Linked DNA regions of Schizosaccharomyces pombe. Changing the gene in region 3 together with the main gene of any one other region gives a genetic interaction. Each region holds a gene or a part of one and is shown on either strand. Other genes may lie near its edges.

Region 1 (3,941 bases), on a different chromosome or scaffold from region 3:
AAAATTTAGTATAACAAGCACCACTGGTTTCCTCATAATGTTAGTTTTAAGATCTTGGGCATTAGCTTAGCACAATAGAATGGAGGGTTGACGCGGCCGTTACACATGACTTCACTTATTTGTCCACCACATACATACTTCCGGCAGCTCACTCTTCGTTGTAGGAAATATCGTAACTTTTAAATATTTATACAAATAAAAGCATTTTGTTTTGAAAAAAGAAGTTTTCTAATATATCATTTGAAAATAATAAACGAATTTCCCAAGTTTAATTAAGGCACCACTTTCAATTTTTTAACATTTACTCCGAATTAGAGTTGAATATAGTACCTTGTTTCATGTACAGGGTCTGCAAAATTGTGCAGAGAAATTGATTGTTTAAAAGTCCCAAAATTTAATCAAGTGAGAAGTTTAGATGAGTGAATCTGCACCCGCTGGTTCGAAGGAGGGAGTTTCATTCGGTAATCTCCCTCGTCCTGAGCCACGAACTTCTAAAGACCAGCAGAAGTTATCCATTTCTACCGATGTTAAAAAACCATCTCATTCTGCTCCTGTTACGCCGGTTCGGAGTGCCAGGAGCTCAATGGAACAGCCAACGTTTCGTCCTGTTGCAAAAAATTCCGTAACAGTGGCACCTGCTCGGGCGGCTGGATTCTGTCCTCCACAATTTGAGGAATATCATCATGGACGTTCCCATAGTCTTGTTTCACCACCTCCGAGTCCACATTTTCTAAAAAGGATTTCGTTCGATACGTTTAATAATAAAGCGGCTACAGATTTTTCCCTGACTCTGAAAACACAACATCAAGCTTACAAGTGGACAAGAACGTCTCGCACTTTTTTGTGTGGCATGGATGGCAATTCGTATTCTGAAGTTGCAGTCGATTGGTTATTCGAAACACTTTTAGCCGACAACGATGAAGCAGTAGTATTAAGAGTAATTGATCCTTCTTCCAAGCTAGCGGAGGATTTATCGGATGAACAATCTTACAGATCTTTAGCTGAACATATCATGGCAGGCATACTCAAGAAAGTTGATGATGATAAAGCTGTTTCTATAATAGTTGAACTCGTGGTTGGTAAACCTCAAGATATGATCCTTCGTACTATACACGTTTATTCACCTGATAGTCTTATTGTCGGTACTCGTGGCAAAGCCTTAAATAGCTTTCAGTCTCTTCTTTCTAGCGGAAGCGTTTCCAAATTTTGTTTACAAAAAAGCCCCATTCCCGTAATTGTTGTTCGACCTGATCGAAAACGAGTTCGTTCAAAAAACAAGCGCCTTAAGGACAAAACGAGAAAGTCCTATATGGAAATTTTAGAGAAAAGCGGTCGCTAATACGAATAGTTCTCTAACTTGCCAATTTATGATTAATACTTGCTTTATGACATGTAATATTTAATGCGTTTGATAAATTATTCGCAAAACGGTTGAACATTGATTTCTTTATTGTCTATTTTAAAAAAGAGCAAAAAAAATAAAGCTTTAATTTTTTTTGTTCGCTAAGCTAAAGCGTGCGGAATTTTAATGTTTAGAGTATATCTATCGTGTATTTGAGATTTCTTAATGTCAATTAATTTGTTTGTCTCTGGATTTAACTATGATAATTTGGAACATGCGTACGTTATGCTGCGTAATTTAGTTGAAATGAAAATTGTTTGTTTACATCCATTTATCATTTTAAGAATTTACGCTTTATTACCAACTCACATATTTTTCATTTATTCCCTATAGAAAAAAAATTTACCTTTACCAATGCGGGTGCCTAATGAAGTTTGTTTTAATATATTATCATATTTGGAAGCCGATGAGCTAAGGTGCAAATCGACAGTTTGTACTTCATGGAGGAATTTTATTATACCCACTTTATGGGAAAAAGTAGTATTTCAAAACGAAGCTCAATTAAATAACTTTTTTGATACTTTACAATACTCCAAGGATGTTTCGTACTATTTCAGGTATTTGCGCAAGCTGAATTGCTCTCGTGTTAGGAAATTTCTTACCGATAAACATTTAATGTTAATGACATTAGCAACAGGGATTTCTCGTCTGAATTTGTCTGGATGTACTCGCATTTCCGAGCCTCTTATTGGTAAACTGTTGTATCAGAATTTGAACTTGGTTACTATAAACTTCAGTAATATTTTCTCTTTACCGGCGAATATACTTGAATATATTTCTGATAATTGCCCTAATTTAAAAGCTTTGAATATTGGGAATTGTGGGTTAGTAGAAGATACCGGTATGGTTCAGATAATAAAACGTTGTCCGTACTTAAATCGGCTCATTATACCGAATTGTCGAAAGCTGACTGACGTCTCATTACAAATACTTTCTGAAAAAGAAGACCTGATTGAATTAGATATTAGTGGATGTGAAGGCTTTCATAATGCGGATACGCTGTCTAGGTTGGTCTCCAGAAATCGAGGTTTGAAAGAATTATCTATGGATGGTTGCACAGAATTGTCACATTTCATCACTTTTTTAAACTTAAACTGTGAATTAGATGCAATGAGGGCATTAAGTCTTAACAATTTACCAGATTTGAAAGACAGTGACATAGAATTGATAACTTGTAAGTTCTCAAAATTAAACTCTCTATTTCTTTCCAAATGCATTGGATTGACTGATTCGTCACTTTTAAGCTTAACAAAGCTTTCTCAATCTTTAACGACTCTTCATTTGGGACATTGCTATGAGATAACCGATATTGGTGTTCAATGTCTTCTAAAGTCATGTAAAAATATAACTTACATTGACTTCGGTGGTTGCCTTCGTTTGAGTGATATAGCAGTAAGTGCTATTGCTAAGTTGCCATATCTTCAAAGAGTAGGTTTGGTCAAATGCATTTGCCTTACTGACCTTTCTGTAATCTTACTAAGTGGGTCTTTTTCCAGAAACCTTGAACGAGTACATCTTTCTTATTGCATTGGACTAACCGCAAAGGTATGTAAAATATGCTATCTTTTCTAACCAAATTAGTCGGTTAGTTATTTGATGTATAACTGTAAAACGTTAAAGCATCTTAGCGTTACTGGAATTAACTCTATATTATGCACAGAATTGCGATCTTTTTCCCGTCCAATTCCAGATGGAATAAACCCGTCCCAAGTCCCGGTATTGTAAGTCTGTGGTTTTGACCTCTTAATAGTCACTAACTAATATACAGCTGTGCGTTCACTAAGGTCGAGATTGATTTGTTTCGAGAATTTATTCGTAATAGAATATAGAAATCAAACTTTTCACAGTTTCATTTAAGGCTTCAATTGACATGATGGCGTGCTTGTCCTTAACTATTCAATAATAAAACATTTTATAAAAAACGTTATTTACTCCGCAAGGTTTTTTTTTTTTTTTTTTTTTTTTTTTTTTTTTTTTTTTGATTGAACTAATCAGCAGATGGTAGCTATATATTTACAAGTACAAAAAAGTAGATTTATTACATATTATCAAAAAAACCTCTCACTCTTACAAAAGATAAGTTAAACATAGTTTCTTAAAAGAAAACCTATTTTATTGTACACCTTTCATATTGCATTACCATTCACATTAGTTAATAATTAATTTTTTTTATGGGGGTTCCATACTAACTCCTGTTCAAGAAGCATCCTTGGGTAAAGTAGATATGAAACCATCCAAATTAAATTCATCATATTGGGATTCATCCCACATTTCTGGAAGCCCTTCAAGAGCCTTTTTAGAAGTACCACTTAGACCGCGACCTGCCGCATCTTCCGATTCTTCTTTGTCAATATTTTGTACAGTTTGTTGTTCATCAGCAGTAGTGTTAAAAAGGTCTAAAATCTGATCGGTTCCAATTGAAGAAAGACCAGCATTTTGCTGATTAACAACCGTTGATGCCACGTTCATTTTAAACCTCTGAAGGCCCATTATTTTTTCCTCAAGACATCCTCGAGTGATTAAACGATACACATTCACC
Region 2 (3,233 bases), on a different chromosome or scaffold from region 3:
CATATTCGTTTTGTGTGTGTCTTTATTTTTAGTTAATATTATTGCTGATAGAATACTTTACGGTCGTTTTGTCTTTCCCATCATTTCGTTCTTTCAATTTAATGTTACTTCAGGCCTTTCCTCTTTGTATGGATTGAACGCATGGCACTATTACCTTTCTCAAGCCCTCCCATTAATATGCGGAGGATTTCTTCCATTCGTATTACTCACAATGGACCTTCAAACAGCGGGAACCATTCTTTGTGTTTTCTTTCCCTATTCACTGATAGGACATAAAGAACTTCGGTTTGTATACCCAATTTCACCGATTTTACTTACTTTAGCTGGAAAATTTTTTTCATCATTTTCCTCTTGGAAGCGTGCAGCACGGTTTTTCTTCCTTATTGGATTGGGACATGCTCTGGTAATTACATTTTTATGCCGATTTCATCAATTTGGAGTCATGGAAGTTATGCCATTAATACATTCACTTGCTGAAAAAAACCAAACTGGTCTAATACTTGCTCCGTGTCACACTACACCATGGCAGTCGCATATCCATTCACCTTTTGCTGAAAATGGATGGAAGTTCTTGACATGTGAACCGTTCGAAAAGCCCTTTGATGAGACGGATCGTTTTTACGAGAATATGCCTACTTTTCTAGATAAAATTAAAGAATGGCCGGATTATCTGATTTTCTTTGAAGAGCGGTTTTATAGCTTATACAGCTATCTTGACTCCCGAGGGTTGAAGTATGAAGAAGTACAGAGGTATTATAACTCCTTGATTCCTGAAAGTCGAGAGAGAGCTGGAGCTCTGTTAGTGTATAAGAAACTCTAATTACATGATTCTTCATACCCCAAAAATTTCACAGGTCAGCATAATTATCTGCATTTTAACAACTATTGATGTATTTTAAATGAAACCACTGATGACTATTACTTGCTTTGGACAATATTTGGTTTATCCCTAAAACGCCAGCTTGATTTCTAGCTCCCCATTATAAACGATTTGCATTTCTATTATGGTTCGTGGATTATAGAGGGGGCCATATCAAGTCTTCACAGAGCAAGAGGAAGCAACAATTTGTAGACGAATAAAGTAATCCTAAGCCATTTACTATTAAAACTTAAGACATGGGTGGAACACTTATCTTCCCCGAAGCCATTATCATGAATCAACATCATTTTAAAATTTTCAACCTTTGGCGACTTTAACCTTTCAGAAATTTTCTTAAATACAAATTTATAGCATATCCTGCACTCTCCAAACAAATCTGAAAAAGAAAAGTTAGCTTACAACGCGAACACCCAAGTCACTTAAAGAATTTGCAATTGTAATTTTATGCTATGGAGTCGAGAAAAACGCAAAGGTCATTCGTCTATGTTGCGATTGGGACTTGAAAAAATAATTTTATACGGCCTAGCTACGATTCTAAATTAAATTTTTTATAATAGTATTTCACAAAATATTTGGAATATTACGGATACTTTAATTTTTAAACACAGTAAACTGCTTAAACGGTCGGTTTCTAGAATTGTAAAAAATTCTGAATTTCATTGTTTTATTAGATGAAGTATGAATATATATAATTGTAGTAAACACATCAACGATTCAACTAAGCATGTAATGTACGAAAGTAATAGCAATCCCACTTGTGTCAAGAATCTCATAACTTCACTAAATTTATTTACTGAATAGCATTTACACTATTATACGCTTTTTTACGTAGAGTTAAAGCATTGCTACATCCTAACGCGCAAAGTGTATATTGTGTGACTTACATATCTACACTATTCTCGTCTGCTAGAAATTACCAAAATATTGCAATTCAGCAGCTTCAGTTGATATAATGAGTTATTTTTTACCTCATTTACATTCTGGATGGTAAGTTTTTGTGATAGATGGATTTATTCTTCTCTAACTTATGTTTATAGGCACGTTGATCAAGCAATTTTATCAGGTACGCGAACTTTAAGAAACGTAGAATGTTTCTCGTTTCACAACTTCGAATCAGCTTATTAACCTTTTTTTTTATAAATAGAACAAGAGCGCTTGGTTGTCATTCGATTTGGTAGAGATCATGTATGTTCTAATGTCGATATCTACTTGGATTAAGTCTATTTAATATTGTAGGCGGATTAATTTACTAACGCGTAACGGAATAGGATGAAGAATGTATAAAACAAGATGAAGTCCTATACAGAATTGCTGAAAAGGTCGTCAACATGGCTGTCATATATTTAGTGGACATTGACGAAGTTCCTGACTTCAACAAGGTAAGTCTAAGTCTTAGTTGGAAAGTCATGTTGCTAACCTTATTACCATCTAGATGTACGAGCTTTATGACAGAACTACAATAATGTTTTTTTATCGAAACAAACACATGATGATTGACTTAGGTACTGGTAACAATAACAAAATCAACTGGCCGTTAGAAGATAAACAAGAGATGATCGATATTATAGAAACTATTTTTCGTGGTGCTAGAAAAGGTAAAGGTCTTGTTATTTCTCCAAAAGATTACTCTACCCGACATCGCTACTAGAAGCCACCATTTGCTTATGCAAGAAAATGGAGAGGGGATAGAAAAATCATAGTAATTTGATAGTTTTTGGCTAAAATGAAAAAGTCTTTTTGCTTTAATTTTTACGCATAATTTGTACTTCAAATGGTATAACCCTTCTTTTAAAGTCAGTAACAATACAGGATTTGAAATTATCTAGTGGATGAATTGTAATAAAGTATTATCAAATCCTATGAAGAAATTACATTATATGATTAAAGAAAAGCATGAACATGATTACTCTTGCTATGATTTAACAAGAGAGGTAAAAAAGTGACACTCAAGTTGCCTTATTAGTTGATCTAGCGTGTTTCTTTAAAGCCAGCAAAATCTCGTCAAGAAGGGTGTATATAACATGAGCGTTTAGAGATTGGTTTTGGAGAATACGAAATATTCTTTTCACAGCAATATCAGGTGTATAGCCGGGAAACATGGAAGCAAGCAAAATCCCTGCTTCTGCTTTCAATTGATTCCTATCAGCATAAGCTGGCTTTCGCGCCCGTGAATGACGGCGGTCTTTGGAGTGATCATGATTAGATTTACCTTCAAGTCCTCGTCTAAACTCGCGTAACTTCCTATAAATCTTCTCAGGCGTAAACAACTGAAACAGTTGTAGTCGTATACGCTTTTCCAAAGCTCCGCCAAAAAGTTGTTCCAATATCGATATATAAGTTTTTTTCGGTAACC
Region 3 (3,620 bases):
GGTATTAAACTCGCATTCGAAAAACCCGAGGACTTTGTCTTAAAGCCTCAACGAGAGGGTGGTGGAAACAATACGTATGGAAAAGACATTCCTGGTTTACTCAGCAAAATGCCTCAGGAAGAATGGGACTCTTACATTTTAATGCGCTATATAAATGCCGTTCCATCACAAAACTATATTTTGAAGGGAGAAAGACCTGAAAAGTTTGATGTCGTCGACGAAATTGGTATTTTAGGTACGATCGTTTGGAACATCAAGACTGACGAAGTCGTTCAAAATGGACAGTCGGGTTTCATTTGTCGTACCAAACCCAAAAAAACTAATGAAGGTGGTGTTGCAACAGGCTATGCTTCTTTATCTAGTATTGAACTTTCTGAATAAATTTTGTGTATCAGTTACACCAGGTCAAAGGTATTTAATGTGAGACAAACGTGAAGATGTTGATAAAATTTTTGATCTGAAACACGTTGCTACTTCAAGATATCAATAGACATGATAGACAAGATGCGGATTTTTTTTTTAAAATCGATGATATTACTATTATACATTAATTAAACTTTTCGAAAAAGTCATTACCAGTTATGCGATAATAAAAAGAAAGGAACCCAGAAAAGGCAGTAAAAACTCTTAAAAAATCCTTTAAGTGCCTCAAAGAAGATATTAATTATAAAGTATTTTGGGAGAAAAATAAAATCTCCTGTGTTCAAAATAAAAACAAAACAAGTAAGAAGATAGGAAAAAAAACAAAAAACGATTCAAGCATAAATGACCCGAGAATACTCTACCCACCGTAATATTACACCACGAATTTGGTCCCACTGTTTACTGTCAATTTGGAGCCAATTCTCATGAAGTGATCCACAAGAATCACATGTAAAAGGTTGCATCCAAGAAAGATACTCATTTAATTCCTTATGTACTAACCTTTCAACCTTGAAACTCACTTGGCATGGCTTAGAAGTTTTGCCGGGATCCGGGAAAATTTCTAACACCGACCTGGAAAAGGCACAATTTTTAGGGTACTCACGAAGGTGTCGCTGAAGGTCAGAAACTCTGGAAATTTGGATGAGGGTAGAGTCACCTAAAACGACCGAAGGGTTATTTTTCTGCTCAAATCTGTAAACGCAGATATAACCCGGACAATCATAAGAATCCTGGTTACAAAGCTCACTTTGTAAAAGAAGTTTACATCTTTCGGATAGTAGCGGATTAATCCAATCTTCTAATACAACAACTCCACGAGTAGGAATAGTTCCCGGAGAAGCGACTAATGAAAGTCTGGGTGGAAGATGTTTACGATGAACAGGAGGTATATTGGCACGCAAAAATTCAGGGTCAACAGGTTCAGTAACATTTAAGACAAAAGAATCCCCATTATTTAAATCCTTTACAATTGTAGTAACTTCTCTAGGCTCTGACATCTGAGTTTCATAAGTTTGTGGATATACTGTTTCGTAAGTAACTGGACGCCATTTTAACGATCGAGACAACCATCTATAAAATCTCGTTGCCTTACGACTTAAGGACCACCAAATAGACCACAAATCCCGTTTCCAGCAATCCCACTTATCTTGTAAGGAGTTCGAAAAACCGAGGTTTGTAGAGCTCTGATTACCCAATGTCTCAAATTTTGAAGTAGAGGAATATTCATTCACGTCTGCAGCTTCCGATTCTACATTTGGGGAAGGAAAATCTGTAGAGATTGATACTGAATGCAGAGTATTCGGCATTTTCATGAAATCCTAATCAAACAATATCAACATCCTTCAAAGCCTCTAAAGTCTTAAAATGTATGAACAAACTCAATTACTCGTATTTTCAGATATTTTTCAAAAGTTTTAACAATCAGGGAAACGGAAAAAGCAAACTGAGCTTAATGTTGACATTGGGATTCGTTTAAGGAAACGATTCATGTTACGTTATTTTATTTACCGTAAACATTTTTGCCATTCCAAGTGCCACTACTAAGAAGTAGCAATAGTATTGGCACTAAGTAAAAGGGAATTGACGGCAAGAAGGAATGCTCGTGAGGGATTTGTTTTGGAGTGTAGTTCTGTAATTTTTACCAGAAATTGGCGAACCGTTTGCTTGGTAAGGTGAGACTGAGATGCAGATAGAGATATAGGATGGGCAAGTAAATGCATATGGAGGTCGTAGTATAAACAAAGAATCATCAATGCAAGACAAGAGGCGGCTTCTTTAGCATTTCCTTCATCGACAATAAATATAGCATCTCTCTCATAAAATGGAGGATCAAGTGAATTTAATTCTTGCAATATTGAAGGGAAATGCTTGCGAAACACCGGAGCACCTTTTTTTCCTGACGGTATTGGAAAACAAAGTTCATTCTTCACATTCAGGGTGGTATTCGACAAATTCAAAACAAAGTAAGATGTATTTTCTGGAGGGGGATAAAATCCCGTAACATCCCCAACAAATATAGGAGTTGGTAAAAGATGGGTTAACGAAGAATTTGACATGGTAGGTGAGTTTCTAGTTGAAGATAGTAGGAGGCTAATTTTTTGCTCCAATTGCTCCTCTGGGCATGTGAGGATAGATTCAGTATTTTGCCAAAAGACTTCAGGGGTCAGCCCATGCGACCATTCTTCTTCGTCATCTGCTGCTCCTTGAACGTAAAGAAATCCATGTTCTCGGGAGTACCCATTCTGTACTTGAGCACTTGCAGTAACCAGAACAACTGTAAAATATTCTTCAAATTGTGCAGATGTTAAACGACTAGCAGGTGTTACCCATAAAGGACGAATGGGTTTAGTTAGCTTAGCCGCCAACGCATCTAAGTCAATGCCGGACTGCATTAAAGAATCTACAAATCCATCTAGCCTCTGTAAAATAGATGATTTTTCTGTATCAGGTAAAAACGGGGGTAAAAAGGCCAAACGAGCATTAGGAAAGGAATGGGGACGAAGCCGTTCGAAAACACATTTATTGAGCGTAGCAATCCATATCGGAATCGTCTTTGATAGAGCATCGGGCATTCTCTTTCCACGACGAGTAGAATCTACTATAATCAATCCATCACAAGTGGTTATCTCATTTAGCAAATGCAAATTGAGACGACGACAGCTAAAAGACCATTGCCCGGTATGACCATCAGTACTTTTGAAATAAACAGAAATCGGAGCATGTCGTCGGTTGACATACCACGTACCGCATCGTTCATTTACAACAGGTTTAAATGTGGGGTACGAAGCTATAACTGAGTCGACAAACTTGGCATCGTGTGCAATTGACAGCAACCGATTCTTTCTTGAAATTAGTGTTAGCCAAATTTTCCATTCGATGACATACAAATAAAAGAAAAGCAAGGCAAAAAGGAAAAACAAGTAAAAATCAGCAAAAATATATATCAGTACGAAATCCAACAAATGGCGATTAGGCTAAAAATTTTTCATGAAAATTTAATAGCAGCTATCCATCGTTTTTTCTTACAATTTGCATTAATTGCTTGTGCGTTTATAAAGGTAGCAATCATTTTCTAAGTCTTTTGATTCTGCCAGCTTATTTGTATAGCAAATTGAGACTTACGGGTGTCTTGCTTGAACATGAATTTGTTGCACAGCGTCTAAAGGGTCGAATTCGTCCATTCGTTTGGCAGATCA

Evidence for each region. A genetic interaction does not mean that the proteins touch.
Region 1: mutations in mug113 (region 3) and pof2 together harm fitness more than expected from each alone (negative genetic interaction), as found in Schizosaccharomyces pombe (one large-scale study listed by BioGRID).
Region 2: mutations in mug113 (region 3) and dim1 together harm fitness more than expected from each alone (negative genetic interaction), as found in Schizosaccharomyces pombe (one large-scale study listed by BioGRID).

Annotation. Positions count from the first base shown.
Region 1 is NC_003423.3:2,616,106-2,620,046, forward strand, and holds pof2 (F-box protein Pof2), read left to right. Parts: upstream 1-1,756; coding exon 1,757-2,947; exon of another isoform or gene 2,948-2,983; coding exon 2,984-3,123; exon of another isoform or gene 3,124-3,170; coding exon 3,171-3,231; 3' UTR 3,232-3,371; downstream 3,372-3,941. Other genes in the region: SPOM_SPBC25B2.10 (Usp (universal stress protein) family protein), read left to right, coding at 416-1,339; TATA-binding protein-associated factor Mot1, read right to left, coding at 3,599-3,941. UniProt on the Schizosaccharomyces pombe protein: Involved in substrate recognition in ubiquitin-dependent degradation.
Region 2 is NC_003421.2:877,234-880,466, reverse strand, and holds dim1 (U4/U6 x U5 tri-snRNP complex subunit Dim1), read left to right. Parts: upstream 1-1,795; 5' UTR 1,796-1,832; coding exon 1,833-1,867; intron 1,868-1,878; exon of another isoform or gene 1,879-1,917; coding exon 1,918-1,943; exon of another isoform or gene 1,944-2,024; coding exon 2,025-2,065; exon of another isoform or gene 2,066-2,148; coding exon 2,149-2,259; exon of another isoform or gene 2,260-2,312; coding exon 2,313-2,528; 3' UTR 2,529-2,663; downstream 2,664-3,233. Other genes in the region: gpi10 (pig-B family GPI synthesis protein), read left to right, coding at 1-820; sorting nexin Snx12, read right to left, coding at 2,827-3,233. UniProt on the Schizosaccharomyces pombe protein: Plays a fundamental role as a protein essential for entry into mitosis (G2/M progression) as well as for chromosome segregation during mitosis. May play a role in mitotic spindle formation and/or function.
Region 3 is NC_003424.3:2,825,083-2,828,702, forward strand, and holds mug113 (protein mug113), read right to left. Parts: upstream 1,848-3,620; 5' UTR 1,737-1,847; coding exon 756-1,736; 3' UTR 501-755; downstream 1-500. Other genes in the region: glutathione synthetase large and small subunit Gsa1, read left to right, coding at 1-381; rit1 (initiator methionine tRNA 2'-O-ribosyl phosphate transferase), read right to left, coding at 1,965-3,267, 3,547-3,605; palmitoyltransferase complex subunit Erf4, read right to left, coding at 3,584-3,620. UniProt on the Schizosaccharomyces pombe protein: Has a role in meiosis.